Linked DNA regions of Saccharomyces cerevisiae S288C. The protein of the gene in region 3 purifies or fractionates together with the protein of the main gene of each other region. This does not show direct contact. Each region holds a gene or a part of one and is shown on either strand. Other genes may lie near its edges. The genes, in order: RFA1, CMR1, HTB2 and PSH1.

Region 1 (8,755 bases), on a different chromosome or scaffold from region 3:
ATACGAGGATAATTAAGATGCAGTCATCATAGGTTTCTCTTCAAAAGGAGAAAGTTTAAATAGGCAACTGACACTGAAGAGGTATAGTCATGCCTACCGCGATTTCTTTGACACAGAATTGAAAAATTTTGCATTTTTTGGTAATTTCCTAATAATACGAAGTGCAATAATCTCACTTTGATAGGAGCACGTCATGATGGTAATTTCATACTACTGAACGTAAATGTTGAAGGTGAATTTGTAAAGCTTTGTTATTTGAAGCTGTACACCTAAAGGGCGGTAAATTGTTGGGTGTTAGTACCATGCCATTAATTAGAATTTGTTAGCATTTTTATTCATTTGTGCATTATGGGTTCAAATTCATATGACTGAACGTGTAGTTTCATATCCAGTCATCAAGAGATGCTGAACCGCCCTTCAAAAACTTGACGAAATAGAAGTTTTTTTTTTACATTTCTCATATGTTACATAGATTAAATAGTACTTGATTATTTGATACATTAAGCTAACAAAGCCTTGGATAACTCATCGGCAAGATAGTCGGCTTCAGCCCTGTAATTCAAGCTGTGTAGGTTAGCAACGGTATATCTAATTCTGCTTTGATCATTGTATGTATCCTCACGCGCTCTAATCCTAAAGTCATATTCGTTCATTTGGATACTTTGAGTAATTTTTGTGAATTCGTTGGGGTCTTCTTCCTTCAAAGACATTAATGTATTAGCATCAACACCCAATAATTGTTTAGCTTGGTCGTCAAATAAAGTGAGCCATAGTTGATTGGTTTCGTCAATAATTGATATTGTCAAGATGTATCTCCAATTTGGCCTTGCATTATTGGTGTCGCACTTCTCACATCTCCAAGTACCATCAGGCTGTTCCAGAACTTTCTTATTACAATTCTCATTAGAACAGGCAGGATATGCAAAATTATCAACTTTTAAGAAACTTATAGCAGCTTTAACACTAAAAAAGTCACCTTTCTCGCTTCTTCCTAGATTTTCAGCTTGAGCTCTAGCAATAGTAATACGCTGAGCAATGAATTTTGTTAAGCTAGCAGCCGATTGACCACCCATACCGGGTTCTTGCTTTAAAGTGATGAAGTTTGCGTTGCGGCCCTTGGAATCATACCAACCCTTTAAGGCATATGCCTCAGGAATTTCTGGATTCGGAATCAGGGTACTAGAAAATCCCATAGACAAAGATTTGCCACCAAAATCCGTCACACGAACACCTTTAATGGCAGCAACAGAACCTTCAGGAAGGTTGAAATCAAGGGCTTGCTGATTCCATAGGCCAACAGAGATAGAAAACCCAGAGTCGTCAACAATTGTGATGTCACGACGATCGAATTTCTTCCCAGCCCTTGAAGTTAGCTCAAAATGTGGGTTTATAGTTTGGATAATACCGAGGACGTCTACGTTGGAATTTACTTCCTGGTTCTGAATAGCATCTAGTTTGATGAAATTGAAATGGGTTTTCGGAACATTACTTTCATCGAAACATTCTTCTATAACAGTGTCTCTATCCAAATTCAGTTCATAAGGGTGTGTTAGATTAGTAAATTGGGGCTTAGCTGGTTGGAGTTTTGCCTTTGATACATAGTATACTTTGCCTTCTTGTAAAATTTCGTTAAATTTTGTAGCAAAATCATTAAACGCCGTGGCTCGGATTTCTCCAGAGGTATCCAAGAAGTTGACATTGAATAGTTTACCATCACCTCTTTGATTGTGCCACGTTTTAATTTCTCCCTTGTAGGAAACTCTTGCTTTGATAGTCCAAACGTTTTGGTATGGAGACAGTTGTTCGATGGCAAAAATTGGTCTGGTTTTTTGCGAATTAGGGTTTTCATTGGCGAATTTTCTCTCATTTGCATTCAAGTTTGAGTTTGAATGCAGCATATCAGGGACACCAGCATTGCTGGCGTTTGTTTGATTGGCAACATTACCACTGTCAGTTATATCTTCGTCTTTTAAGGTTTCATTTGGATGCTCTGAGAAATAGTTATCCAAAAAAGTACTAGTTTGGTTGACCATATCAGCACGCGACTGGACCAACTCAAAGTCATCTACTAAAAGAACGTATTTCTTTCTTTCCCTGACAATAGCAGGTTCTGCAATTATCACGCGAATGATATCACCCCTTTGTAGTTCCATTGACTGGAACTTGGATGCAGCTTGGTTTCTCAACAGAGCCTTCATATGGTAAATACCATCGGAAATCATGATCAAATTCTTTCTGTTGCTGTTAGCCCCATCAGATTTCCTGGTGTTATAAACTTGATAAACGCCACCGGTGGGATTATCGTACCTTTGCTTATTGGTGAAGATGCTATGAAAATCGCCCCTCGAAAGTTGAACACTGCTCATCTCTTGTAAGTATAATCTGGTCTTCTTGCTGGTTTCGCCTTTACCGTAATAAGAAGAGTGAATAGTTTTTGTTTTACGTGTAGAACTTAAAGTGATAACATTTGTTCAAGTAAACCTTTATGTTAGTTCACGCGTCTTTTGTCGCCTCGTCTAATTTTTACGCGTGACATTTTTCCAAGCAGAGATATTTTATTGAGCAGCGAAGAAGAGTTAGAGAATAAGAAAGTGATGCGATAAGAAATCCACCCAATTAGCATAGATCCTTTCGTATATGGCTGAAGAAGGTGGTACGCGCATAGCTATTAACATATATGCAAAAAGAACGGCAAAAGGCGAGGAGGTTTTTATGCCACCGCTAGTATTTGACATAGATCACATCAAACTTCTAAGGAAATGGGGTATTTGTGGTGTGTTATCTGGAACTTTGCCTACTGCAGCACAGCAAAATGTATTTTTGTCGGTACCTTTGAGGCTTATGTTAGAAGATGTGCTGTGGCTGCATTTGAACAATCTTGCCGATGTGAAATTAATAAGACAAGAGGGAGATGAGATTATGGAGGGAATAACATTAGAGCGGGGCGCCAAACTATCTAAAATTGTCAACGATCGTTTGAACAAGTCATTTGAATATCAGAGAAAGTTCAAAAAGGATGAACACATTGCAAAATTAAAGAAAATCGGTAGAATCAATGATAAAACCACAGCTGAAGAATTGCAACGGCTTGATAAATCTAGCAATAATGACCAGCTAATTGAATCTTCTTTGTTCATTGACATTGCTAATACCTCTATGATTTTAAGAGACATACGGAGTGATTCAGACAGCTTATCCCGCGATGATATCAGTGATTTGTTATTTAAGCAGTACAGACAGGCAGGAAAAATGCAGACCTATTTCTTATACAAGGCATTGAGAGATCAAGGGTACGTTTTGTCCCCAGGTGGACGTTTTGGTGGGAAGTTTATAGCATACCCTGGTGATCCTCTTCGTTTCCATTCACATCTGACGATACAAGATGCGATTGATTATCATAATGAGCCGATTGACCTAATATCCATGATAAGTGGTGCAAGACTAGGAACGACTGTGAAAAAACTTTGGGTCATAGGCGGTGTTGCGGAAGAGACAAAGGAAACTCATTTCTTCTCAATAGAATGGGCTGGATTTGGTTAAGCTGGGAATCAGTCATGTATAATTATTTTCTCAGAATTTATGTATTTATAAGGTTTTTCAGAAGCATACATATGTGTAATACAATTTTTAAATTTGCATTGATATTTTGATGCATTCAGCGGGAAAGTAGTTGTTTATCACTAGACATATAATTATGTTTATTTATATTTAGTGGGAGCAAAACAGTTTATTGAATGTTTACCAGAACCGAAAAAAAAGCTCTTCTAAACTGTTGACATCCAGTTCATTTACTTCCACGTGTAGATGTGAAGGAACAAATATTTTAGCATCGTTCATACAAGTAATTATGCTATATTATCGATCCTCGGATTTCAGCTTCCGTTATATCGGATGATTGTTACTCGACCTTTATGTCGTCTTTTTACATCATATATGATAATATGCTAGCAGTTTTAATACAAATTGATCGAAGATAGTTGGTTCTGAGAAATGGGTGAATGTTGAGATAATTGTTGGGATTCCATTGTTGATAAAGGCTATAATATTAGGTATACAGAATATACTAGAAGTTCTCCTCGAGGATATAGGAATCCTCAAAATGGAATCTATATTTCTACATACTAATATTACGATTATTCCTCATTCCGTTTTATATGTTTATATTCATTGATCCTATTACATTATCAATCCTTGCGTTTCAGCTTCCACTAATTTAGATGACTATTTCTCATCATTTGCGTCATCTTCTAACACCGTATATGATAATATACTAGTAATGTAAATACTAGTTAGTAGATGATAGTTGATTTCTATTCCAACATACCACCCATAATGTAATAGATCTAATGAATCCATTTGTTAGTTAATAGTTTAAATGTTTTTATCGGAAGAGGTTTTGTCATCACATCAGCAATGTTCTTCTTGGTCTCGATGTAGTATACGTATAAATTATTACCTGATACTTCATCTCTAAGTCTCATTGCCTTTGTGCCAAAAAATCTGTTTCTAAATTTCTCTTCATTTGTAGACTTAATTATACTGATCGTTGATCTACTATCAGTAAGTAAGCCTTTAATAATTGGTTTCTTGTTAAGTTCTTGTATCAGGTAACTTAGATTATTTAATAATGGGACAGATTCACTTATCGCGTGTATTTCTGCTTCCGTAGTTGAAGTACATGTTAATGAAGCCTTGGTGGACTTTCCTCCAATTACCTTTCCATTAAGTAAATATATGTTGCCAATTTGTGATTTATAATACGGTTGGTTGCCATACGAAGCATCACTTATTGCGACTAGTTTATTATCTGGCTCGGTAGGTTTGTTTTTGTGCCATATCAGTTGTTTATCTCTAGTGTCCCACATGAATTGTATCAACTCATATGTCATGTCTAAAACTTGCCTAGAGGGGAATAGTATATGTTGAGCAAGTGTGTTGATGTAGTATAGTAAGTCAAATCTAAATTTATATCCAACATATGAAGCTAGACCAATCAACTTTTGCATTTCATGTACCTTCTCTTTGTATTCATCTTCATCTATTTCTAGTTCATCCTGGTCTATATAAAGACCTGGTTGACCTGGAGCTCTAAGTTTCTTTCCTTTTGGGTTCAAAGGTACGTTTAGTTTGGGTAATTTTTCTGTCAAGGATTTTTCCATACCTAATTTCATGTATTTACCTCTTTGATATTTGATTTCTAAGCCAAGTATGTCGTACTGAATTTCGTTATCACTTTCACCCAGATTTATTATCTTTGTATCGTATTGTTTCTTGAGTGTTGTTATGATTTTCTTATTTGCATTTAAGTCTTTGCTGAACAATATCATATCATCAACGAATAAGCAAATTGTTACTTGACTATTCTTAAATACGCATGACCATCCACGAACTTCTTCCATACCACACTGTTTTATCAGGTATGATTTGATAGTTTCGTACCAGTTCGCTCCACTTTGTTTCAATCCATAAAGTGATTTCTTCAAACGTATCAACTTATCATTCATTCCTAAATGTGGTGGAGGTCTTATGTATAATTCTTCTTTGATGTCTGCATACAAATATGCCGAAGATATGTCTAATTGTGTAATATAGTAGTTATTGTCTAATGCAAGTGACAGGGATGTCATCAACGCATAATGATGTACAGTGTTGGATTGCATACCTGTATCGTACGTATCAGGATGCTGAATGTCACCTCTTGCAACAAATCTAGCTTTATGAGTTCCGTCACGTTTCTTGTTGAAGATAAACATTGAGTTTATTACTCTTTTAGGGTCTATTTCTTTTCTGTCATAATATTTGTCAGTGTCCCAAGTATTCATTTTCAATAGTTGGTTGACTTCTTTGTGGTATGCCTCGATATATTTTTCTTTTTCTTTAATATCTTTATTATAGGTGATTGCCTCATCGTATCGTAAGGTTGTCCGTATTGGTTTGATTGATTTTACTGCTTTTACAGCTGCAATCAGGTGAATTCGTTTCTTCGATCTCGGAGGTTCTAAACTACGCATATTCTTAGTATTCCATGTGTCTCGTGATACCTTAATTTCAGTTTCATTATCTTCTAATGATCTTTTCTTACTGTTGATAGTAGTATAGGCATTAGAGTCACCAATACCACCCAAACTGGAATTAGTTTGATGAGAATTTATCGGTGGGAGTTCTTTAAATGGGTCAGGGAATTCGGTAGGAGATTCTGGAGGTAGATCAGGGAGTGGGAGATCAGCGATGATAGATTCCTCGGTATTCTGTTCAGAAACAGTAGTTGGCGTTTTGATAGGAACAATATTGTGCGATGAATTATTTTCCGGTGGAGAAGCATCGATTGAAGGTGAACGGTGTATAATCCTTTTCTCAGTCTCTTGGTCACTTATCTGCGGAACAGTTTTGTTGTTGGTACCACCCGTACTGGATATTGGTACGTTTGTATGATTAGTCTCATTTTCACTGTACGAGTCTGAGTGTCTGAAATCTTTAGATTTACTGGCGTGCGACGACTCATGTGTGTTAGATTGGGACATGGGAGCAAGTAAAGGAACATTTAATTTATGCATACCACCCGAACCGGTACTCTCGATATTGGAAATTTGGGGGGTGCTAGATCTCTTCTTTGATGGAAGAATATTAGATTCAGATATGTTGGGGTCAACTTCTCTGGGTGCGCGAATATTGGTTTTAGAAACACGTTTCGAATCTTCAGTATGAGTTGACGGAGGTGTGGAATCGGTTGGACTCACAGCTTTTGAAAGGACATTTCTCGGTTGCTCAGGATGTAGTTCAATGTCGGATTGGAAGTCATGGTCAGATTCTATGTTAAGATCATTGGATTCTTGGATCTCATTTGACGCAATGAACGAATGATATGAAGCAGTTAAACGGTTTAAGTCTTCATCGAAAGTGAGTGCGTCGTAATTGAATTGATCTAATCTGGATTCCTTGCCCTGAAGAATAACATAGTTAGTTGTATCTACTGTCTTCTTTAAGGATGGAAGATAGATGATATATCCATAAGAGTTTCGAGACGGATGTAGAGCGTAGCCTGGGATGCCACGAGGATGTATTTTGGAGTTAGGGTTGTGATCATTGACGATAACAGGTTGACCGAAAGGTAACAAAGTACTGATATCAAGTCCTGCCAAGCCAGCATGTTGTCTTGCAGATTTTTTGCTTTTAGGTGAAGCTAGTGAATTTCTCACAATAGTAGAAAATTCGATTGCAGAGAACCATAAATGGTTCGGTAAACCACTACATTGCAGTTGAGTACGGCAGTCATCTAATAAGGTACGGTTTAGCCGTTCAGCGACTCCATGTGCTCGGGAATCCGCTGTGGTTGTATAGCATGGAGTTATACCATTTTTTTCAAGGAATTTATGGAGAGTTCTGTTAGTATACTCAGAACCACGGTCCATTTGTATAACCAAGACACTGGCCTGAAACTGGTTTTTAATAAAAGCTAGTATCGTAGTAAAAACATCGAGGATAGAGTCCTCGCGACGGTCGTGTAATGGATAAACCCAACGCAATTTTGTTGTCTCATCAGTAAATGAGATGAAATAGGATGGTGCACTTTTTGGTAGGTTGTGAACTGGACCAAATATGTCAGTATGTAGGTATTGAAAGGGTTCGTATGAATTTTGGTATTTTAGTCGTGAACCTTTGATATGTCTGTGTTTGGTGCTTTTGCCGATTAAACAATCAGGACATTGATAGTCAATAGCACTAGACCAGTCGACATCTGATTCGTTAAAATACGTGATGGTGTTATTTTTAAGTGAGTATCGAATTTGTCTGTGCATTGGCATGCGCAAGCATTCGATGAATGAAAGGATAAGGATATTTGCGTGTACTTTCACTTGTATGGACATTATTGATGGTGGGTACGGAGATATTTGATGGAAGCAAGTACTTTTTAGATACCCAGTAAAAGTCTCCATATTTTACGATAGGTGCAAGTACAGTGCCGTCAGACCGTTCTAAGACGTTTTTGGTAAAGCATGCTGTGATATCTACTGCAGCCAATTCATTCAAACTGAGTAAGTCATAGGCTATGTTAGGAGTGTGCAATACCTTTATTGATGTTTTGGTGTTGTCCTGGAAGTGAAATTGTAGGTCACCAATAGCGTTAATTGGTATATTTCTTTTTTGAGCATCAACTACGTTTATGTCAGGATTAGATGATGCTGAGTGTATGTGATGAGCAGATCTTATAAGGGTTCGTGATGCTCCTGAATCGAGAAGGAGGTGTCCAGGGAGTTCATCATCAGAATGATTAGTATGATTTACTGTAGATTCAGTAAGTTTCTGGCCTAAGATGAAGGTCGTGCTTATTGTTCAATTGAATCGGTTCAGTAGTTGATTTACTGATGGAATCGTTGTCCGTGCTGGGAGAGTTATTAGATGTGGATACATTGTGAGCCCTGGCTGTTTTCGATTTCGAATTATTTGTTTTTTGAGGATTCCGAGCTATAACTTTGGGTTTGGTTGTATTCGTATAGCTGCGAGAATCATTCTTCTCATCACTCGGATTTCTCCTGTAATTAGGTTTACTGTTTCTCGATCCCTGTTGTTCTTCATAAATAGCATGGATATCTAAGAACAGTTCAGCGACTGTCATATTTAGATGTCGATGACGTGTGTAGCGTAAAAATTTATATTCGCCAGATAGACCTCTCATAATTAATTGGCATGCGACCTTGTTATTGATATGAATGCCATTATTGTTCAGTCTGTCGATAATGTTTGTGACTTTTGTTTC
Region 2 (8,749 bases), on a different chromosome or scaffold from region 3:
CTGATATATCAACCTTATTTTTGATATCATGTAAAATGTTGGCTTCGTCTGAACCTAATTTCAAGGACGACACCAGTTGAAATATAGCTATTCCTTTTTCTAAAAAACTTGCAACCTTGGACCATGTCCCTAATGTCGATTTACCACTTCTTAACTGATTTATAAACCCAAAAGCGTCTGGACATCTTTTTATTGATTGGCTAAGGTCACTAAAAATGATGGCGTTTTGTTTATCCAATAAGGTTCTTATGATGCTGTATCTTGTTTCTATCCGTTTTTTATTGGTTAATGGGTTAATAAGCCAAGACTTCAAAATTCTCCTGGCGTAGTCCGAAGACACTTGATTGAATAGTTCAAATACACTAAAGAAACCATTTCTCATCATCTTATCATGGCCCAGTTTATGAGCTGTTGGAAAAATATGCAAAGCCGATATAGTATTTTCATCCAGTACCATCCGATCCCTTATGTCGATATACCTTATGCCATGTATCACATCTTCAAAAGCATTCTGAACTAATCGTCCTGTTACCATATTACTTGAAGCAGTACTGTCATTGTATTCACCAAGTTGTTCATGATTTGCAAGGATGCATCCCACTGTACCTAAGGTGACTGTGGTGGTAAATTTGCTATTTGATAATATGTCGTTCAATATAGTCTGATTATCATGACCCCTTAACTGCAATGACTGCAATAAGTCCCATTTTTTGAAACGTTTTATTGGTTGTAGTTCTAGCCTACAGTTTATCTCATCGCATTTTGTCTTAATGTAGTCGAAAATCCAATCCTCCAATCTTGCCGGCACTAGGCATACAGTTGGGTTTGCTTCCATTATTAAAAGTCCAAGTAACAGACTTATGTCGTTTGAAGACATATCTGCATCATCGATAAGATCATGAGACGAAATTGTTGTTTTATTGACCACGTAGTCCTGGTCAAACGCTTTCAAAGTCTTGGTATGATAATCTAAAATAGAACACCCGAGTTTTCCTCCAGAAAAGTCAATACACATTACAATCTCCTCGTCAAAATCGAAGGAGAAAATGGTAGAGCTATCCTCTTCACGATTTGTATCACCTTCGTTAAATTCTCCGTCATTGTTGGCAACGACAGCACCTTTATCCCGCAAACCTTCCCCATTACCAATGCTTCTCATTGTTTCCGATGCGCTTATGAGCCATTCATGGGACATATTCCATTTGGTGGCAGTATATGAATGAGTAAGTTATTTTGAATGAGTTGTTTTGTTAACCTTGATTTTAGCTTCAATTTTTTAATAATTAACCGCCGAGCTAATTTCGCGTCATATCCATATGGATTGTGGATGCTTTAAAAAAAGTACGGAGATTAGTATGTTTTAAGGTTAAAAAGTTACATATGTTTATTACTGATGATTAAAGTTTTTGTGTGCAAAAGACGGTAATGAATCCTTTTTCCTTTGTTGATGCCATGTCTCGAGCTGAGGCTTTTTAGTTAGATCTTTCTACTCTGTGTTCAGCTAATGCTATCCACTTCGCTACGATCTGTGAAGAATGCAAATAACGACGTGAAGAATATTTTCTCCATATGGCGTTATGACGTTTAGAGGCATATCTGCAATTTTCTAAAATAATGGTGGCCAACGGAAGAATTTGTTCTTGTGTATAATTGGAATAGTAGACGTGCGCCAGAGACCACTGATTTTGGCCCAGAATAATCTTACTTAGAAAGTATGCACCGGCAGCTAACCAACTAGGTTGAGCGGAAACCAGTCGATGGTCCATTATTGTGGATTCCAATAGATATTTGGCCAGTGTTCTCGTATCATGCTCGTAATCGTCTGCCTTACTGATTCTTCGTAAAAATGACATCGGACCAGGCCAACCCAATTCAAATTCTAAGCCGTTCAAAATAGTTCTTTCTGCGTCCAGCAGGTCGTTCCTTGAGTAGCAGTTTTCTGACATGTATACGAAATCCTTGATTGTAGGACAGTTGATTTCCTCATATTTAGCAGCAATGAAGAGTGAGGCTGCACCCACAAGTTGGAACTTATTTACAGGAACAACTTCTTTGCACAGATATCTGTCTATTATATTAATGCAGAGATATAGAGTTTCAGGTAAAAGTTGAAATTTTTCATGTACTTGGACGATCCAATCAATCAGTGTGCTTCGAAACGACCATCTTAACTCTGGTTGTTTATCCATGTAGTACGGGTTGGGTTTATACAGGTCTTCCAATTTCCTCATATACTCGAATATCTCATTAGATAATTCGGCAACCATGACCACATCGTACACGTCATCATCATTGGGATCTAATGTAGTTCTATAGTAAGTTCTAAATGCATGCTCCCAGACCAATGTATCACTAGCATAATGTTGCAACAGTAGAGGCTCCTGGTCTTCTTCTTCATCCTCTTCGCTTTCTCCGTCGTCTTCAACGGGTTCCTCTTGTTCCCTGTCCGTTAACAAATCGTTATGATCAGCTTCTTTTCTCTGTGCAACACTATTCGCATCCAGCCTTTCTTCCTCAATTATCGCAGCTGAATCCAATCTTTCTTTAATTGGGGCGACTTTTGGCTTACTTATGCTGTTGTTGCTAGAGTTTGTCGCAACTATATTGGTAACGTCGCTAAGTGCGACCCTCGGGTGCGCAGATGAAATATGACTGAGGGATCCAGTCCTGTGTTTAAGATTACCTATAGGTGCCACATTTTCATCCTCGGGGCTCCTGATGTGTCCAGAGCTCAAAGACTGTGAGTTATGATGCATTTATAATAAGCAATGATAAAAAGGACAAAATATCTCTATGTTTTAAAGCGAAGGACAGAAACAATAAATAGCTTTTTCTCTGCAATTTTCTTTTCTTTTCTTCTAAGCAAGCAGCTAAAAATTTCTGATCGTTTTCTTTCGACCGGATCAAAAATGTTTTTATGTGTCCATGTTCTTGCATTTCAATATTTTTGTTTTCTTTTGTTTTGTTTTGTTCCTTCGCTTGTCGCCTCGTTCTGCTGAAAAGCGGGAGAGAAAAAAGGCAGTGCGGGTAACTGAGATGTTTTCATTCTTCCTGCTTTATGGTTCCGGAGTCATCAGTAAAGAGGAATATTTTGCCGCTAGAATTACCACCTGCAATCCAGTTTCGCAGCGGGTGCCAACTAATTACAGCTGGGACAGTAGCTGTGGGTAGGTGAGCCAGTTGCTGGCCTTCGCTGTTGTATATGTCGATGGCGCGCTTCATGTTAGCTATTGCAAAAACATTCTTGTTCGGCTTGAACCTGGCCTTGAGGATGCTTGTCCATCTTCCTGTTTGGCAATTGTGCTGAATCGTTAGTTTGGGCTCCAACTTCGCAGAAAGGTGATCCCTACTCTTGACATCGAATAAGCGGATGGTATCGTCATAGCCATTGCACACTAAGGTGCCATCTGTCGGTGAGTAAGAAACTGCAGAGACGCTCAATCTTGAGTCATATGTGGAGACAATTTCATGACTGGGATAGTCTTCATATTGTGACCACTCTGGCTTTTTAACAAGGTTTCTTGTATCCCAGATTTTGAGTGTTCTATCAAGTGATCCGGTGGCAATCTCGTAGGGTCTCATGGGATTTATTGCCATAGACCCGATCTTCTTGTCTGCGAGTCTTCGCAGATTATACTCTGATTTTTTTACTCTTGTGTCAAACGTGGTGAATTCACCACCTAATGTGGTGAGGAATAAAACATTTGGGTTTTCGTAGCTAAACTGGCAATCGCTGATACCCAGTGAATCGTCATATTCATTTTTCAAGGTGAGAACCTCTTCACTCTGTAAGTTATTCAAGTGAACTGACCTGATGCTTCCGTCGTAAGAGGTGAGCAATATCTTCGATGTGTCCGCAGGGAAGCAATCAATACGGCCGACGTTTTTGGTAAATAGTTTCACTCTGGTGATATCGGGTTCTTCCATTCGGTCCTCTTCGCTGTCAGCTAGTGGTTCATCTCTAACGTTCCAAAAACCCACAGTACCGCTTGTATCACCTGCAATTATTAGCTTTTTTTCCATAGCAGGATGGAAGTAAGTGGCAGAGATTCTTTCGTATGTAATCTTAATTTCGTTCGGTTGAAAAACGTCATATAGATCCAAATCAAATTCGTCCATCCCCGTAACGTCACCCTGTCTCTTTTTTATTTCTTCAAAGAAATCACCAGAAGAAAAGTTTCCGTTATTAAACCTCTTGAATTTCTCTAAAAGGGCACTTTCGTCTTCATCCTTGATCAGATCACTTAATTTCACATCTCCTATTACAGGTTTCTCCTTTATTGCGTCTATAAAATTCTTATCCTGGCCATCTGGAGAACCCATTTTAAGCAACTGATTATCGTTCACATTGGGTATTCCTTTCACATCGTCTGCAGACTCACCCCTTAGCCTTCTTGATCTTCGTGTAGGTAAAGTGGGACTCGCAGACTTGGTTGCTCTGGTATTAGTTGTTTTTTGTTTCTTTTTTGCAGGAGCTCTAGATTTTTCCAACACCCCAGCCTCGTGCTTAATTTGAGATGCTACTCCAGACAAATGGAGTTTTTTCAATAAATCGTTATTCCTTTTGATGTTCTCTAAACGTTTTTTCTGAAATTCTGTTAATTCCGGCATTCTTGACTGAAAAGCAGCTTTCTTTTAATTGCCGTACTAAAATAGATCGCCTATTGTGTACTATTGACGACAAATGCAAGATTAAAGGGTTTTTATCTTCTCTTTAACAATTGTTCAAATATACATTTACCTCTTTTGGCGTTATTATAATTGTAACATGTCAGAAATTGAACATTAACAAAAAACGCGTAATATGGGGTCCTCGGGTGAAAAATTAACGATGGGCTTTTGAAAAAAGGTACGAGCATATAAAGCGAGTACAGTCATTGTGTGCCACCAAGTAGGAAACAAAACACCGCTTAGAGAGAAACAGCAAGTGGTGAAAAACAATGAGTAATATTTTGGCAGTGTTCAACCCTCCACCACAAAGGGAGCTGGAAAAAGAAGAGACTATGGATTGCGTTCCTTGTCAAGTCATGAGCACTATGTTTTCTGTTGGATTTGGCTCATACTTGGCATCTGGGAAACCATTCAAGTATGGTAAAAAAGAAGCCAAAAGAGGCATTTCTCTGACTGAATTTGAAAAAAGAAACCCACAATGGTGGAAAGTAACTTTACGTAGCTTCGGTGGGTTATTAATCGCCTTCGGTTTCGTTAGAGGAACCGAAGGTTGGTTGTGGCATAAAAATAAAGAATATAAGAACTATAAGAAATTAAGTAACGATGGTGAAACACAGGCTAACTAGTATTATTCGCAAGCTTCTCTCAATCGTGAAATTTTCTGTACATAAAGTGCTACTTTGATGATTATTTTTAAAAATATTGTTACATTAGAAAATTGGTTTGTGATTTACATAATCAGGAGAGTCTATATATATATGAATATAGCTTTGAGAAAGGGATGTGAAAAAAAGTGCAATATGTTCCTAACTAATGTTATCGCATGCATTCAATGGGTTGATCTTTCCGATTGTTTCTTTTCTAACTTGGCACGGTCCAAGGCTTCTCTTTTAATTCTCTTGTCTTCCTTTATTTTAGATTTTATTTTTCTACACCAATGTCTAAATTTATCATCTTTAGACGGTGATACGTATTTCATTATAAGATCATGATGTAGCAATTCATGAATCGATGACCTTTCCCTTTCATTCTTAATACAACACCTATTGACAAAATCTGTCATTTCCTTGGAATAGATACGGTCTTTGGGTAATCTTGGTGAAGGCTCGTTGACAATACGTTGCAGCAAATCCAATATGCCATCAGGTGTATCGTTATGCCCACCTAGGGGAAACTCTCCAGTTACCAGCTCGATGATCATTAAGCCCAATGACCAAACGTCCCCTTTGATAGAATAAACGTTTCCTTGTATCCTCTCTGGTGACATATAAGTGGACGTTCCAACAAATGTATCAGCGATAGAATTTATTAGTTTTTTGGAAACTCCAAAATCACATAACTTAATCTGCCCCTTACTATTAATCAGAACATTGGAAGGCTTGATATCACGATGAATGATCTTATATTGTCGGTACAAATGATCCAAGCCATTTAGTACGCCATACGCTATTTTTGATATTGTTAATTCGTTGAACCAGGTTTTCTTACTCGAAACAGTCCCTCTTTGAACAAACCTTTTATAAACGGACAGTATTTTATCTAAAGAACCACAATCAGAGTATTCCATTAAAATTATGATTTCATTATTTATATGCTGGTTATAATAAGCTCCATAGAAGGTGATAATGTTTTCATGGGGCTTAACGTTTTTGACGATAGATAATTCCCTAACTAATTGGTTGATGATTGTACTGTTATTCTGTTCCACAGGAATGGTTTTTTTGGCAACTATTTTGGAATCAGGAACATGTAGTGCCTTCACCACAGTTCCAGAATTTCCAGCACCAATTTTCCCCAACTGAACCAAGTCCTGGAGTTGTATATAATTACCATTTGAAGTTCCCGACAACGTATCTTTCAGATCTGCTGCGGCTGGCGATAGGCTTTCCTCCAAAGGTGGTAGTGATATCGAATGTTCGTTTTCAACTGGTGTTGCAATATTGGACAATCCCTGAATCGTAGAGGGAGTAGAATTCGTGGATGATGGCGATAATCCGAAATTATTACTGTACGCATCTATAATGCATGGCGTGGACAAAGATGATGATGATGATACACACGGGGATTGTGATAGAGAAGACAGAACTAAAACAGGTTCATTTTGCGGTTGCTGTATTACCACAGTGTTTGGTTTCGATATAGCTTGGTCATCACCAAACGCATCCAACGTCAGTTTTTTTTTTATGCCTCTTCGCAAAAACAGGTTGCTATTATTCTGTATTGCATTAATGTTAGACATCACGTGGCCTTCTATTCGAGATTGTCCCTGGTGAGTCTCTGTCTTTTCCTGCAATTGGCCATTATTGCCCACATCTGGGTGCAGGTTAAGATTGAGCCCTTTCAAGTTCCTTCTCTGTAAAGTCTTTCGTTGAAACATGACCAACAACCAATATACCACGCTGCAAAAACAGATATGATCCGATGCAGTTTTCTTATCATTAGTGTCGCTTCACATTAACCTGTAGGTCTTCTAATCCATCAGATGGGCCAATAATAGTATGATATCGCCGTTACCCCACGAATCACTTATAACGAGGACAGTGATCAAAAAAGGGAGGGAAAAAAATTTCGTAAGAAAAAGGACAACACAATCTTAGAACTAATGGGCGATTGTAACATTGGGGTTTGCAAGAAAAGACAATCATCAATAAAAGTGTTTATTATCTGATTGTACATTTATTTCTCATCATTGGATTCAGTTTTGTTTCATCCACATTCTTTTAAGACCACAAGCTTAATATTTTCATTCATAAAGGATTGTACGACAAAACAACAATAATAGTAAATATAGTCATATTTTATTCCTAATAGAAAGATAGACGCAGAAAATTCTTACTTTTAGCCCTTTTATTTCTTCATAACCGCATCGCCATTCGCATAATAACTTATCCCAGGCCTAAAATACGACAAGAAAGAAAATAGTAGTAATGGGTTCCATCAATAATAACTTCAACACTAATAATAACAGTAATACGGATCTCGATCGGGACTGGAAAACTGCATTGAATATTCCCAAGAAGGATACCAGACCACAGACAGATGATGTCTTAAATACAAAGGGTAATACTTTTGAAGATTTTTATTTGAAAAGAGAGCTGTTAATGGGTATTTTTGAAGCCGGTTTTGAAAAACCATCCCCTATTCAAGAAGAGGCTATTCCGGTAGCAATAACTGGTAGAGACATATTGGCCAGAGCAAAGAATGGTACAGGTAAGACAGCCGCATTTGTTATTCCTACGTTAGAGAAAGTCAAACCAAAGTTGAATAAAATTCAGGCTTTGATCATGGTTCCCACAAGAGAGTTAGCTCTGCAAACTTCCCAAGTCGTCCGTACATTGGGAAAACACTGTGGTATTTCATGTATGGTGACCACTGGTGGTACCAATTTGAGAGACGATATTCTAAGATTAAATGAAACAGTCCATATTTTGGTTGGTACTCCTGGTAGAGTGTTGGATTTAGCTTCGAGAAAAGTAGCAGATCTGTCTGATTGTTCATTATTCATCATGGACGAAGCCGATAAAATGTTATCTCGTGACTTCAAGACAATAATTGAACAAATCTTATCCTTCTTACCTCCAACTCACCAATCTTTATTATTTAGCGCTACTTTCCCACTAACGGTTAAGGAATTCATGGTTAAACATCTGCATAAGCCTTATGAAATTAATTTGATGGAAGAATTGACTCTAAAGGGTATTACTCAATACTACGCCTTTGTTGAAGAAAGACAAAAGCTACATTGTTTAAATACTTTATTCTCTAAGCTTCAAATTAATCAAGCCATTATTTTTTGTAATTCTACTAACCGTGTCGAATTACTAGCCAAGAAAATCACTGATTTAGGCTATTCCTGTTATTACTCTCATGCAAGAATGAAGCAACAAGAAAGAAATAAAGTTTTCCACGAATTTCGTCAAGGTAAGGTTCGTACATTGGTCTGCTCCGATTTATTGACCCGTGGTATCGATATTCAAGCCGTTAATGTCGTTATCAATTTCGATTTCCCCAAAACGGCAGAAACATATTTACATCGTATTGGTAGATCCGGTAGGTTTGGCCACTTGGGTTTAGCAAT
Region 3 (7,622 bases):
TATTATAACACGAAACTGAAATGCAGAACGTCTTATGAGTCTGCAACGACTTTTTGGAGTTTGTGGGCTGGTCTTGCAACTGAAGAGCAAGCAAAAATCACAGTAGAAAAAGCTCTTCCTCAGTTAGAAATGCTCGGCGGACTAGTTGCATGCACAGAAAAATCAAGAGGTCCTATTTCTATTGATAGACCGATCAGGCAATGGGATTATCCTTTTGGTTGGGCGCCGCACCAAATATTAGCCTGGAAAGGTTTATCTGCATATGGTTATCAACAAGTAGCTACAAGATTGGCTTATAGGTGGCTGTACATGATTACAAAATCATTTGTTGATTATAACGGAATGGTGGTAGAAAAATATGATGTGACAAGAGGGACTGATCCGCATCGCGTTGATGCGGAATATGGTAATCAAGGTGCTGATTTTAAGGGCGTCGCTACAGAAGGCTTTGGTTGGGTGAACACAAGTTATTTGCTCGGATTGAAATATATGAATAATCATGCAAGAAGGGCTCTCGCTGCTTGTAGTCCACCATTGCCATTTTTCAATAGTTTGAAACCCTCTGAGAAAAAATTGTATTACCTATAATATTGACGAACATATGTAAATAAGATATATGTTATATTCTTCTTTCTATCAATAACCATGAGATTGTGCCTCAGTAATATTTGAGACGATTTAGAGTAAGGTCAAATATTATTATTAATCAAGTTGTGTAAAGGCTCATTTGTGAAGGTTAGAATAGTAATCGATGATTTTCAAGTAAAAGTGTTTGAAGGGCATTTCAGTAACATCTTCAAACTAGGAGTTTGTTGAGACAAAAAAGTCTGATTTTCATAAGATCATAACTTACGCTTTGAAGATCGTTATGAGTACCTTGTAGCTTGCCAGATCTTCTTGCTTATTCTTAAGCTCTTGGGTAGTACTGTATAAGACTGCTTGACATCGGGAACACTATCATTACCGTGTGATAGAATTCTCGTACCAAGCCGGTTCACCTTTGCGTGGTCTAGTGCATAGGAAGAATGACTAATAGAAAGCTTTCATTTCTATTAGTGTCTTAAATGCGAAGAAGGTATGGGAATCTATTACATACATGAAGAATATAGGATCTGTATATCGTCGTCACCGACGTAAGGTTTTTTTGTCAATTCTCGGTGAACAATTTTTTGCAAGAAATATATTGATACTTCTTGTTGAAATATTTTTCTTTTTCGGAAAACAAAAACATAAAATAATTATTTAAGAAAAAAAATTAATTAATAAATTTAAATAGAAAATCTTTTTTACTTAATAATAATTAAATAAATAAGTCACATGATTTATGTAGGATCAATTTGCTCAAGATTAATTTATTATTATTGATATTAGTAGGTGCCAGTTGAATAGCTATATTTTCAGTCTGTTTGAACGTTCTTTTTTTCATTTTCTGCTGAAAGCAAGTACTCCTACTTTTATTACTTTACATGTTATCGGAGGCCTGCACAGACACTTGTATCCTATACTATCAAGGTAAATATGATTGATTGATCCTCTTGGGAAATGGGATTTTAAGTTTTGTTAGCATTCTGGTTTGCCAACCTGTTGGTAAAGCACTATTTTTCAAGCTTTTGCAACGAGATTTGTCTCTTTGATTTTTTATTTATGATTTCTAACTTTTTACTTTTAGTTAAACTATTAAAGAATAATTTTCGCAAGGTACATAGCGATTTAAGTAGTTCAGAAAAGAAATTATTTAAAAATTACTCGCTCTCTTATTTGAAATGAAGATGGTTTTCAGACAAACTCCTACACAAGCTTGTTACTGGCTTTCAGTCCGAAAACAGCTCCAAACCCTTTAATAAAACCTTTCGTTTCTTTTACTTTTTATTCGAATTATATAGCTCTTTGACATTCCTTTTTTAGTATGATTCAAGCTCCCCTCTTTTCCACCCCGTGAAAAACAGAATATCATTAACCGGGATTCACTGACATCGTCAAAAGGAGAGATCAAGATATTCAGTTTTTGTCATTGCCGTCGTGATCATTAACTATAAAGCACATAAACTACAAGTTTAGAAAATGCCCAAGATCTTTTGTTTAGCGGACGTGTGTATGGTCCCTATTGGCACCGACTCTGCTAGTATTTCTGATTTTGTTGCACTCATTGAAAAAAAAATCAGAGAAAGCCCATTAAAGAGCACTTTACACAGTGCAGGAACAACAATTGAAGGGCCTTGGGATGATGTGATGGGTTTGATTGGCGAAATCCATGAATACGGTCATGAGAAAGGATATGTTAGAGTACACACTGATATTCGTGTTGGGACTAGAACTGATAAGCACCAAACTGCTCAAGATAAGATCGATGTTGTTTTAAAAAAAATTTCTCAATGAATGCTCGTGTAGTGAACCTAAATAGGGTATATCTTTAAGGAGAGTTTAAGAAACAATTTAATAATAACTGTTTGCAAAATATCTTTCCCAATTTTTTTTGTTTATAAAGTTATATATATACATTTATACAACTCCCTTCGGAGGCTGATAGACTAGACCCTTCCAATCATATCTGGACAAGTAACAGAACCCTAATGTTACAATATATAAAAAATGCCACTAATAAAAAGAAAACATGACTAAATCACAATACCTAGTGAGTGACTTAGGCTTGAGTAGAGGAGGAGTATTTGGTAACAGCCCTAGTACCTTCGGAGACGGCATGTTTAGCCAATTCACCAGGTAAGATCAATCTAACGGCTGTTTGGATTTCTCTAGCAGAAATAGTGGATTTCTTGTTATAAGCGGCCAATTTAGAAGCTTCAGTAGCAATTCTTTCAAAGATATCGTTAACGAAAGAGTTCAAAATAGACATAGACTTCTGGGAAATACCAGTGTCTGGGTGAGTTTGCTTCAAAACTTTGTAAATATAAGAGGAATAGGTCTCCTTTCTAACCTTAGATCTCTTCTTACCATCGACGGAGGTTGATGTTTTCTTGGCAGCTGGCTTCTTTTCAGCTGGAGCTTTGGAAGCTGGTTTCTTTTCGGCGGCAGAGGACATTAGTTGTAGAGTAAGTTGTTGTTGGTTTGAGTATAGAGCAATCAGAAAAAATTAACAAGAAGAAAGTAAAATTTTTAAAAAGCTAAATAAATAAACAAAACCAGTCAGCAAAAAAATTTTACACATATACCATGATATATAATAATATATTTAAAAACCTGTGTTATGCTCAAATAACGGTTACTGATCCAAAACCTTATATATGACGGCAAGTGTCTCACTGTTGCATTACGCGATGTTTCTTTTCTTTGTTCTTGTAAGCGCGATTTTACCAGAACTAGATGGCGCTCGTGATCCTGAAAACGGGGAGAAATTTTGAGAACACCGCTTTATTAGGCGAAGCGGTGGGCACAGCTCACGCGTAAGGTGTTCCCATTATTTCTCAAAGTGATGCGAATTTCAGAGAACACATTAACCTGGGGGCCATAAACGCGACGTGCTACCATTTTCGTTACGTATACTTAGGCCAGAGATTACAACATGACTACTAATATCAAACATAACTCTATATATAAGGGATGAAGATGTATGCTTTCTTAGAATTTCAAACATGTTCCGTTAAAGTTTTACTTTTCGATTTCAATTTCGACTGCATGATGCTTTTCTTAGGTAGTTTTTTGTTATTAAATAGTATCATAAATTCTTGTCTTTTTACATAAGAATTAGGAAAGTACAGAACAAGAGCAAATTTAATATATAATGTCCGGTGGTAAAGGTGGTAAAGCTGGTTCAGCTGCTAAAGCTTCTCAATCTAGATCTGCTAAAGCTGGTTTAACATTCCCAGTTGGTAGAGTGCACAGATTGCTAAGAAGAGGTAACTACGCCCAGAGAATTGGTTCTGGTGCTCCAGTCTATCTAACTGCTGTCTTAGAATATTTGGCTGCTGAAATTTTAGAATTGGCTGGTAATGCTGCTAGAGATAACAAAAAAACCAGAATTATTCCAAGACATTTACAATTGGCCATCAGAAATGATGATGAATTGAACAAGCTATTGGGTAATGTTACCATCGCCCAAGGTGGTGTTTTGCCAAACATTCACCAAAACTTGTTGCCAAAGAAGTCTGCCAAGACTGCCAAAGCTTCTCAAGAACTGTAAGAACTGAGTTGAAAAGAAACAAAGCAAATCAAACATTCTTGTCATTTGGGGTTTTAAAGTAGGTCATATGAGGAAGACTGGTATGTCTTTTATCTAACAGTTTTATAAATAGCGTCGTTTTATTAAAGACAGTGTATAGTATTACTATTAATAAAGAAAATAAAAAACGTATCAAGTTTACGGTTTTACTTACGGAAATGCTAACGTACTACAGCTTTGACGTTATAACTTGGATTTTTTATTCATTAGTATACATGTTATAAAGATATATTACAGCTAGGCTCTCTTTCTTTTGTTACGTCTTTGATAATACCCATTTTCATCCTTTTCATGCTTTCTCTTTTCCCTCGATCTCGCATGCTTTCTCAACTTTTTATCAGCAGAAATTTGTGGAGCGTTAACAGCCAGAATTGCCCTTTTAGATCTCCTTTCCTTTCTTCTTTCTAATACGGTCTGTTTGACAGCAGTGTATATTTTTGTAAAATCGGATACTTGCAATTTGTCTTCCAGTATTTTTAAACATTCGTTTGAAAGAGTGCGTAGTTCTTCCTGTTCTTCATCAACTGCTCTTGAGTAATATGTTTCTAAATAACCATATAGCGGCAATAATATCTTTTCCCCTTCTGCAATTACTTCGTCTTCGTCCAGAACTTGAACTAATAAGGCCAATAACTGAATACACGCCTTCTTCGACATAAAAGAATCCATACGATGTTCATCCGACCTGATAATACCACCAATTCGAGTTACCATATAATCAATGGCGGTAGTATATTTTAGATCCTCTCCAGTTTGTTTTGATACATCCATTATGAACGGCGTGCGTTGCTCCTTCCATAGGATACTGATATTAACTAATGTTTTTATTGAGACGTTCGCAAGATTCTCCGGAATAGAAGGCGCACCTAATTGGTGAAGAATTCTTGTTGCAATGGTTTGAATTTCCAGATTGGTTAATGATATCTCCAGCTTATCCTTATTGGCTATGAGTTGATGAACAAGATTTGCCGCCGATTGACGGACCCATGAGTGCGGATACAAGAGACATGTGATAATACCATCCCATATGTCTTTGAAACCATGTTTATAAACGCTCTCTGTTGCTTCCATATAAGATGAGAACGTATTTAAAGCTGAGTATACCAAATCCCACTGATGTTCTGATCCTACCGACGTATCGCTCAAAATGTACCTTATACGCTTGATGGCAAGCTCGTCTAGCTCAATAGTATGTTCAAACCCAATACTTTTCAAGTAGACCTTATAAGTTCTCAACCCAAGATTTAAAAAGGATGCATTATCAACCTGTTTTAGCCAAGCGGCTATATATTTTTCAACAATTTCAAGGTCCTTATTTTCAAGCTTTGGAAGCATGGTGGAAATCAATACTGAAGCCATCTCACGGCATCTTGGCGCATCATCATTAAAAGAAACATTAACTAGCGCCAGAAAGAAGGAAGATGATAATTTGGATAGTAAAGCAGGATTAGCCTTTGTAATAATCAAATTGATCAATTCCATTACGGACTGACGGCCGGACTCGGTAGGATACTGTAAATTGTCGACCATAAATTTGAACTGCTTTTCTAAACGACCCTTACTTTGGTCATATTCCATTAAAAATTGGTAGTAAACGCTCCTGGATACATCCCTAATTTCTTTTGAGTGGTTTGTGACCATGATTTCCCTAGTAGTATCCGCAATGTCATAGAGTTCTGGAAGCATGATATGTTTTGAAACAAGTGCTTTTAGGAAATTAAAAGCAAGGCCTTGTCTGCTTGGTTCATTTAAATCTGGTAAGACCCTCCCTAGAACATAACTCAAAGCAGTATCCTTTAATGTTGAATCTGTGTGACGTATAAAGGCAGAAAGAAACTTTAAACCCATTTGGCATAATTCGCTTGAAGTTGAAGGAGAAACCTTGATAATATTTAGTACCTTCCTCGCACAGTTTTTGAAGATTTCACTAGATTCATCGGAAAAATCTAGCCTAATTAATGTAATCAGGATACGTAAAGTACTAATTACCACACCTTCATTTTCCGAAAGTAACGAATCTCTCAAAAATGGAATAAAACCCTCTAGGTGCGAGACAGTTAAAAAGGAGCGGTGTCTCGTTATTACGTTCCTAAGTAAGTCTAAAGCAAATTTTTGTAAAGTGCTGTTCAAAAGCAAACTGTTTGAGTTGATGGTATAAGATTTCGACTCCAAATTTACCAAGAAAAAGTCTTCTTTTTCATCTACTTGGTCTTTCACTTTTTTCTTTGGTATTTGAGGGGAATTACTCATTTCTGATTCCTGGAAAAGCTGATGGCAGAACTTGAGGATACTTTCTGACTCAGAGTCACTATTATGATTTAAACCCAACAAATATCGTCTCAATAATTCACTCAGTTTGTTTTGATTTCTTAGATTAATTCTGACCATCAACAAAGCCTTCACAGGAGAGAGTAATGTTCCAAATTCTGTCAGGCTGATGTTTGAGGCGAGAATTTCACCAGCATCATAGCTTTTATTACTCTTAATTTCTTTCACTTTTGTATGATAATTCTCAGAGTCTTTTTCTTCACCAGCGAACCCAAAGATATTTTCCATTATAATCTTAACAATCATACTGGACGAGGTATCCAAATCGGAGTGTTTTAAGACTCCGTGCATACTCTTTAATATGTAGTGGACAGTGTAACTTAACACATGAATTTGAGAACCACGTTTTAATGTAGCCATTAATTCCTTTATCACAAAGACAAGATACTCAGCGCCCAAGATAATACTGATTTTACCCAAGGTTACTCTTACTGCATCTCTTAATTCTTCGGATTTACTTCTCAAAACTTGGCAAATATTTGTTAGAATACTAGGGAGGAAATTAGTAATATCATCATTTGTGAGCCCTAAAACAATATTAACTAATGCCTCCGCAATAGGCATTCTTTCAATTATAGTTTCGTCATCTCTAGTGCCAAGAATTTTCGAAAGAGTCGGATACAATTCTTGCTTAATAAAATTACTGGGTTCATCTAAGTTGGAAGGAAATTTGCTCAAAGTAAGTTTCGACTCAGCCCCATCTCTTACGATACGAAGAGTTTCTCTAAGTGGAACAGAAAGTTGAACAATTAATTGTACGGCTTGCTTCATTTGGTTAGGCTTGGTTTTCAACATAGAAATGTACCTTCTAAGAAGAGCTTTGTATTGATTCCAACTCATGTGCTGCGCCAACCCTCCGATGGCTATTTGGGTCTCATTTCCAATATTTCTGTATCTTTCATCATCCGAAAAGACATAATGTTCGATCATTGGAATTAAATAATGGGATATACTGTTATCTTTGAGTTGATGAGCATGTTCACCTAGTCTTTTAATGGCTCTCTGACGACGATGAAGCTGAATATGATTAACGTTTGTAAAAAAATCTGCTTCTTCATCACCATTGTACAGTAAAATGGCCATATCTTCGAAGTCGGTGAAATATTTCGTGTTTTTTACC
Region 4 (7,723 bases), on a different chromosome or scaffold from region 3:
GTAATTGCTTGTTAGGATTGCTCTTGGGACCGTAGTATCGCGACAAGGAAGTCTGTGTAGTTCCACTTGATGTGGGCTGCCTCGCCGCTTCTTTTGCAGTCCCTAACCTTATATAGATGCGCACGCGCCAAAGCATGAGGGTACTCCATCATGTCTGTTGCACAAATATCGTAGGTTACTTGACGCTAACGTCATGTTTGATGCTCCGTTAACGAAGAGAATCGGAGCTCTTCATCTTAATCAGGCTCTTTTATAGCTCAATCATCAGTGGAAAAAATTCTTCGAACTAGAAAAAAATCAAGAAGTGAAAAAACTAAAACCGCCAACTGGCTACCCGGATAAGCCCCATAATGGCGTTCCTAGGGCTAGAAGAATTTCAAATCGATGACAGCTGATAGAAAGCGCCAGAGATATGTAGCCTTCCATCAGTAGTAATATCCAATAAATTGGGCACCATGGTTTGGCAATCAGGCTTTTTACCCTCGCCCTCTTTTCCTTCGCCTTTTACCTCTTCTGCATCCAATTTCAGCGTACGTACACAATGATTGACTTTGGAAATTTTCACTTTTTTCCACTCGAAGAAAAAAAATTCCAAACACGGTTCTCCGGTATTTAGGCATCGAATAAACTTTGCTAATCGACTAAAAGCATCTCTGCATATCTATACGTGTATATATTGTATTCGCTACAGCTCGCTCCTTGCATCAACTCTTTTTTTCTTTTTTTTCTTCCAGGTTAATCAATTACTGTACTGTAGCTTCTTTTTTATATTTTTTAGGTTTTCATATAGTGTCTTACGCAAATAGGCGGACCATAGAATGACTGTCACCATAAAAGAATTGACTAACCACAACTACATTGACCACGAACTATCAGCCACTTTAGACTCAACGGATGCGTTCGAGGGTCCCGAGAAGTTGCTGGAAATCTGGTTCTTCCCTCACAAGAAGTCCATCACGACCGAAAAGACATTAAGAAATATTGGCATGGATAGATGGATCGAGATTTTGAAATTAGTGAAATGCGAAGTTCTTTCCATGAAGAAGACTAAAGAACTGGATGCCTTTTTGTTGAGTGAGTCTTCCCTCTTCGTCTTCGATCACAAATTGACGATGAAGACGTGCGGTACTACAACCACATTGTTCTGTCTCGAAAAGCTTTTCCAGATCGTTGAGCAAGAGTTATCGTGGGCTTTCCGCACAACACAAGGGGGCAAGTACAAACCATTTAAAGTGTTTTATTCTAGACGATGTTTCCTTTTCCCCTGTAAGCAAGCCGCTATCCATCAAAACTGGGCTGACGAAGTCGACTATTTGAACAAATTTTTCGACAATGGTAAAAGTTATTCCGTGGGAAGAAATGACAAGAGCAACCACTGGAACCTGTACGTCACCGAGACGGACCGCTCCACACCTAAGGGAAAGGAGTACATCGAGGATGACGACGAAACTTTCGAAGTACTGATGACGGAGCTGGACCCAGAATGCGCTAGTAAGTTTGTTTGCGGGCCTGAGGCATCCACAACCGCTCTCGTGGAGCCAAACGAAGATAAGGGCCACAACCTCGGCTACCAAATGACTAAAAATACAAGGCTTGACGAAATATATGTCAACTCGGCCCAAGACTCCGATTTATCATTTCACCACGATGCATTTGCGTTCACGCCATGTGGATACTCATCCAATATGATTCTCGCTGAAAAATACTATTACACCCTGCACGTGACTCCGGAAAAGGGTTGGTCTTACGCCTCTTTCGAAAGTAACATACCCGTATTTGACATTTCCCAAGGGAAGCAAGACAACTTGGACGTTCTTCTACATATTCTGAACGTTTTTCAACCAAGAGAGTTCTCGATGACCTTTTTTACCAAAAATTATCAGAACCAATCCTTCCAAAAACTACTAAGCATCAACGAGTCACTGCCCGACTACATCAAGTTAGACAAAATTGTTTATGATCTGGACGACTACCACCTTTTCTATATGAAATTGCAGAAGAAAATATGAAAAGCCGCCATTTGTGTCTCCTCATACTTACATAGAATAGCCCTCTTCTATTATCCTTCGCTTGCTTTCTAGCACTCATAACTAATGTAGTTTAACCCGCTTGTATATCTTCTACATCATTACCCCGCATGCTTTTTTTTTTCCTCTAGAGAAAACCGGCACAGATTGGCCGGACCCGGAACAGGAAAAATGGCCACTGAAAATTCCTGGCCAGACCACCCCTGAGCTAAGGGAGTTTAGCCGCTCAAGCTTTTATTTCCTCTGATGTAATATATCACACACCCAGACACGGTTGCCAAGGCCTCGACGGAAGGCCGCTTCAAGGGACGGGGCAGTGGCTATCAGAAATACCTTAATATCATCAATATTTTTCATCAATCGCAAGGTGTCAAACATCAATAAAGGATGATGCTCAAAGGTTTATGCCCGATGTTCTTCTAATCCCCTTTCTCTCCTAAAATAATCCTTTTTTTACTCTTCTTCTTTTCCCCTGTTTCCATTTTTGTCTTTTCTCACCCCTTATGGGACATCAATAATGCAAGTATGTTTATACATTTTTATATAAATGTATATATAAATGCCATTTCTTACACATAACCTCCATTCTTTGGTTAATTCTTTCTTCATTCTTTTTTTTTTCATTCTGAAAAGCCCTCCAAGCAAGCACGCTAATTTAATATCGATTTAAACATGAAAGTATCACAAGTTTTCATTTCTGCCATCTCTGTCTTCGGCCTCGCTACTAGCGTAAATGCTCAAAACGCATCCAACACCACGAGTAACGCTGCTCCTGCTTTGCACGCTCAAAATGGTCAACTACTAAACGCCGGAGTCGTCGGTGCTGCTGTTGGTGGTGCTTTGGCCTTTTTGATTTAGGAAAAACGCCGCTTACTGCCACGATGATGATACCCTATTGACGTTTCTGAAATGTATAATTTCTTTTCTCATCTTCCCCTTTGATATTCCATCTATAGGCCCCAGAGTAGTAAATTTGGTGCTTTAATTTTTTTTCTCTTCTTCCAGTTCGTCTCTATTTTTTCATTCCATTATATTTATTTATCAGTTTTACTTTCTCAAATATTCTTATATAACACTATTTCATCTACGTAACCGAAAATAAGTAGTTTAATAACGATAATAATCATAATTGTGATAAAAATATTTACATTTTTCTTACTTGTCGCCCGCTTCGTTTTTGTATAGAACGTACTGTATTAGTTGTCCGTTCTTTTCACGTCTGAAGAGGTCGATTTCTTGCAATTTAACATCAACGTGGTATTTTCCATTATATACAATCAAAGAATCATCGTCCAGTTCGATTTCGCCATGAAACCAAAGGTGTAATGCATGTGAGTCCCCCTGCAGTGGGTATTCGTACTTGAACGACCCGTATACCCTCTCCGGCGATATAATCTCAAATAAATCGGCTGTTTCCAAACCAATGCGGTTCAGTAAATCGTCGATGGTTCCCCGTATACTTATTGGCCGATGCGTTATCCTCCATTTGCAAACAAAGGGTATTCTATACCAAGTGTGCGAACTATCCCTTTTATCGTCTGGCTCCATTACAATACCAGTTACACATGGATCTTGATCTTCGCACCACATGCTGAATTCATTTAACGTGGGTGAATTGCCATCTTTATCAAGCAATGGTACTCCGTATTGTTCCTTGATCATGTCATGACCGGATAATATCTCTAAAACCCTTAATTTAGAAAGCTTCTGTACTTGGTTTACGTCAACCTTTTTCAAATCTCTGGTACTCAGTTTACGTATCTTGGATGATGGAAACAATGGTAAGAAACTTTGTTCCTTTAAATATATCACTCTATAGATTAGTGAGTATCCTAATATCACACCGAATATACCACCAAATATGGCGGACCATATTTGCTTTCGGCGCTTGTTTCGCTGATGTGTTATTGCTTGACCAATGCTTCTCAAGTCCTCTCCTTTTATGTTAGGACTGTGTCCCTCTTCAATTTCCCCCAACTTCGTCTGTTGCTGTTGATGTGGCGTCGTAAAAAAATGCTTGCCATCATGGACATGCCTTTTCGACTCTGTCAATGAATTTCTTTTAGTTGTAATGCTTTTATTCAAGGTATTCAACCTTACATGACAATAGGTAGGCGCCTGGGTAAATAAGCATATACTTCTCGCGGACAGTAGAGATGTGTTAGCATTACGTAGAATCGCAAACCGTATCATTACCCCTTTTTCCTTCTTCTTGCAATTGAATACAGGAAACAGTTGCTTTGTCTTATGTTCGCTGCCACTCTTCTTTGGTTTTAATGCTTTGTTTCTCTCCTGCACTTGAATTTTATTGCTCGGAAAATGCTTCTTGCATAACCCCCACATAATTGGGCTGATTAACGTGACGCTAAAAAAATACCAATAGCAGTCCCAAAAAAAAAAAAAAAAAGATTCACATATGTATTGATTTTACTTTACGAAATTCTTGACCTATTTATATCATAAACGAGTGCTTATATTTCCGATCCTACTATCGCTTAAAAATCTTAATGTAATAAGGATAGAAAGGAAATTTTTTAAAAACATACATAAAAGTTCCGTACATATGCCGTTCCCGCTAGTTAAAATGTTCAGATTATTCATCGTCACTGTCTCCTAGAACTACACGGAAGCGTTTCTGCCTTTTCGGTTGTGGGTCATCTAATTCTTCCGTGTTATCGTCATTGTTATCCTTGACATCGCTGGAGCCGGAATACGAAAGTGAACGATCTTCGGAATCAGAACTCGATTGTATCCGTGTAACCTCCTTCTGATCCTCATCAAGGCTATCACCACTTACAAAACCATCATCATTATGCTCGTAAAAGTCACTATCGCGATCTTCCTCTTCTGTAGCATGTCGCCGTTGCTCCTCTTCCTCATCATCAGTAATAATTACATGTCTGTTCTTGAGTGCAGACAATACCAAATTCCTCCTACTTCCATCTTCATCTTCGTCATCTTCATCATCCTCTATAAAATCTTTCAAATCGGAATCCATCTCCTCTTCTTCTTCCTCATCCTCTTCTTCGTCGTCTTCATCATCCACAGCATCCACAGCAATACTACGATTATGTGACCTGGCCCAACGGCCTAGTGGGATATGTTCTCGCATGGGCTCCTCTTCACTGCTATCATCGTCTTCAGAACTTACATCATCTCTATTAGCAAACGGATTGGTAGACGCAAATCGATTCTCTCTACGCCTACGCATGCTTTCCCGGATTTCATCCAACTCTCCTTCACTGTATTCTTCTTCATCAAATTCGTCGCGACCACCTGCGTAATTCCGTATTCTGGCATTGCAGTGGGGACAAACATTTCCGTCCTCTACTTCGTCTGGGTCTAATTCCCAATGACAATTACTACAACGTGTGATACCATCATCCGAGTCGTCGGCCACTGCCAATGCGCTATTCTTAAATACTTTGTCAAACAATGTGTCCTTTTCCTTGTCATTCTTGTAATCATTTTCCTCCTTGGTTTTAGTTGTTAAAAGTTTTTTAAAAGATTCATCATTCTGGTCCCTTAATTTCTCTAAAATGAATGATAGATACTGTTGCAACGTTGTATTCAATGCGGGAATGGTGGTAATATCAGATCTGCACTGCGGACAAGCCAATTCTTTTTGAGTATTGCTGGCAAACCAGGTGTTCAGACAACCATAGCAATAATTATGACCACAAGGTGTCATCATCGGTACAAACATATAATCGTGGCAGATGGAGCAAACTAACGATTCTATTATCTTATAAAGTATGGCGTCCTTGGTGCCATCGTTTTGGTGAAGTAAACGGTTGTGTAATTCGTCGCCCATTATTCTTATCAATATATTAAAACTTTCTGTCTGAGAAAAAACGCGATCGTTCGTTTTCTGAAAACTTAATGCTTAAAATAGAATATTATCAAATTCCTCATCGCAGTTGTATGCTAGAAGAGAGCTCATCTAAATTGTAGTGGACATAGGATAAAAAACGCCATTGTGTGAAATGGCCCGAAAAAAAAGTATTGGGTATTCAAAAATAACGACCCCAGTGAGGGTTGAACTCACGATCTTGCGATTAACAGTCGCACGCCTTAACCAACTTGGCCATGGAGTCTAATATTTTATGAAAGATCTAAATTTTAGAAACTTAATGATGCACAGTTCTCAATGCACAAGATTGTGAGAAATGGGAGAATTTTGAGACAATTGTTGAGATTCCATTATTAATAAAGGTTTAATATTAGGTATATAGAACATGTTAGAGGTGTTGGAATGAAACTTTAAAATATCATCTTTTTAGTAGTATTCGTGTTACTAGTATATTATCACATGCAGTGTAAGAAGATAACATAAAGATTGGGAAACAGTTAGATTGATTGAAGCGAAATGCAAGGACTAATAATGTAATAGGATAATGAAATGTATAAAACGGAATTGGGAATATTCGTAATATTAGTATGTAGAAATATAGATTCCTTTTTGAGGATTCCTATATCCTCGAGGAAAATTTCTATTATAATCTGTATACATAATATTATAGCCTTCACCAACAATGGAATGACAACAATTATCAAATTATTCACCCAGTATTCAAGAGGTTTTCCACAAGGATATAGGAATCCATAAAAAGGCATCAGTATTATTATTACCATTTCTTATTCATTTACACGCCGTTATTCACTATTATTGAATAATCAATCATTGCATTTTTCAGCTTCCATTACATCTGATGCTATTTCTTAACCTTTATGGTTGCCTCTTATTCAACAAAATTAAAAGGATGAGGATAGAGAGTTAACTGGTTTTAATTTTTGTAGATGTAATGTATCCTCTTACAATTTACATTTGTTAACTCTAGGACATTATTAGGCTAATAAAATCATAACAAAAAGAAAAAAAAAACAAACGAAACAAAGTATTTTTTGTATGCCATGAACCATCTGCATTAATTACTTTAAAGCCAATAAGGACACTAATTAAACGAAAAAATAGGTATACTACTAAGAGATAGGTGAATAATTTGGTAATTATTCAGATGAAACTCTAGAGTGTCATCCATTTAGTAATATTCGTGATACTAGTATATTATCAAATACATTGTAATCATAATCATCATCATCATCATCATCATCATCATCATCATCGTCATCATCATTATTATTATTACTATTCTTTTTATTCTTCCCATTTTTATGTGCAGGCCCTTATTATCTTATTACAATATTTATCCTTGCATTTAGCTTTCATATGAATCTAATGACTGTTTCTTAGTCTTTATGTCATCTTGTCACGTCTTATATGATAATATAATAGTAATATAAATACCAGTCAATAGATATTCGTTAATTGAAAGGGGAGCATCAAACAATTGTGACCAATTAATTCTATATATTTACAAACTTTTACTGTTGTATTAGGGCTCGAGTAATACCGGGGTGTCTAGACAATCCTAATATAAGGAGTCTTTGGGAAGTAATCAGTTGCCAAAACGGATTATCAGCTTGATTCATGGGATGTTGCTTATTCTATATATCATATAAAATATGAATTACACTAAATGATGAAAGCGAGGAATCTCAGATCTAAACTAATTGTTCAGGGATTTATACGTTTGGGTGGTTCAACTACGGGAGGCGGAGTTTTATCTCATGTTGCTCATTCTATTCGTTTTGTTATAAGGTTGTTTCATATGAGCGTTTACGAGATGATGTAT

Evidence for each region.
Region 1: the proteins of HTB2 (region 3) and RFA1 purify together in Saccharomyces cerevisiae (affinity purification with mass spectrometry; 3 studies listed by BioGRID). This does not show direct contact.
Region 2: the proteins of HTB2 (region 3) and CMR1 purify together in Saccharomyces cerevisiae (affinity purification with mass spectrometry; 3 studies listed by BioGRID, with this or other methods). This does not show direct contact.
Region 4: the proteins of HTB2 (region 3) and PSH1 purify together in Saccharomyces cerevisiae (affinity purification with mass spectrometry; 5 studies listed by BioGRID). This does not show direct contact.

Annotation. Positions count from the first base shown.
Region 1 is NC_001133.9:156,254-165,008, forward strand, and holds RFA1 (replication factor A subunit protein RFA1), read right to left. Parts: upstream 2,367-8,755; coding exon 501-2,366; downstream 1-500. Other genes in the region: COMPASS subunit protein SWD1, read left to right, coding at 1-32; tRNA splicing endonuclease subunit SEN34, read left to right, coding at 2,713-3,540; YAR009C (truncated gag-pol fusion protein), read right to left, coding at 4,344-7,934; YAR010C (gag protein), read right to left, coding at 8,291-8,755. UniProt on the Saccharomyces cerevisiae protein: As part of the replication protein A (RPA/RP-A), a single-stranded DNA-binding heterotrimeric complex, may play an essential role in DNA replication, recombination and repair.
Region 2 is NC_001136.10:170,780-179,528, reverse strand, and holds CMR1 (Cmr1p), read right to left. Parts: upstream 4,612-8,749; coding exon 3,043-4,611; downstream 1-3,042. Other genes in the region: MutS family protein MSH5, read right to left, coding at 1-1,195; B-type cyclin CLB3, read right to left, coding at 1,473-2,756; DMO2 (Dmo2p), read left to right, coding at 4,941-5,297; mitogen-activated protein kinase kinase STE7, read right to left, coding at 5,501-7,048; YDL159W-A (uncharacterized protein), read right to left, coding at 7,216-7,347; DExD/H-box ATP-dependent RNA helicase DHH1, read left to right, coding at 7,599-8,749. UniProt on the Saccharomyces cerevisiae protein: DNA-binding protein that binds to both single- and double-stranded DNA. Binds preferentially to UV-damaged DNA in vitro. May be involved in DNA-metabolic processes.
Region 3 is NC_001134.8:231,907-239,528, reverse strand, and holds HTB2 (histone H2B), read right to left. Parts: upstream 3,038-7,622; coding exon 2,642-3,037; downstream 1-2,641. Other genes in the region: alpha,alpha-trehalase NTH2, read left to right, coding at 1-588; ECM15 (Ecm15p), read left to right, coding at 2,062-2,376; HTA2 (histone H2A), read left to right, coding at 3,737-4,135; UTP20 (Utp20p), read right to left, coding at 4,412-7,622. UniProt on the Saccharomyces cerevisiae protein: Core component of nucleosome. Nucleosomes wrap and compact DNA into chromatin, limiting DNA accessibility to the cellular machineries which require DNA as a template.
Region 4 is NC_001147.6:226,732-234,454, reverse strand, and holds PSH1 (ubiquitin-protein ligase PSH1), read right to left. Parts: upstream 5,842-7,723; coding exon 4,621-5,841; downstream 1-4,620. Other genes in the region: adenosylmethionine decarboxylase SPE2, read left to right, coding at 819-2,009; DDR2 (Ddr2p), read left to right, coding at 2,700-2,885; AIM39 (Aim39p), read right to left, coding at 3,183-4,370.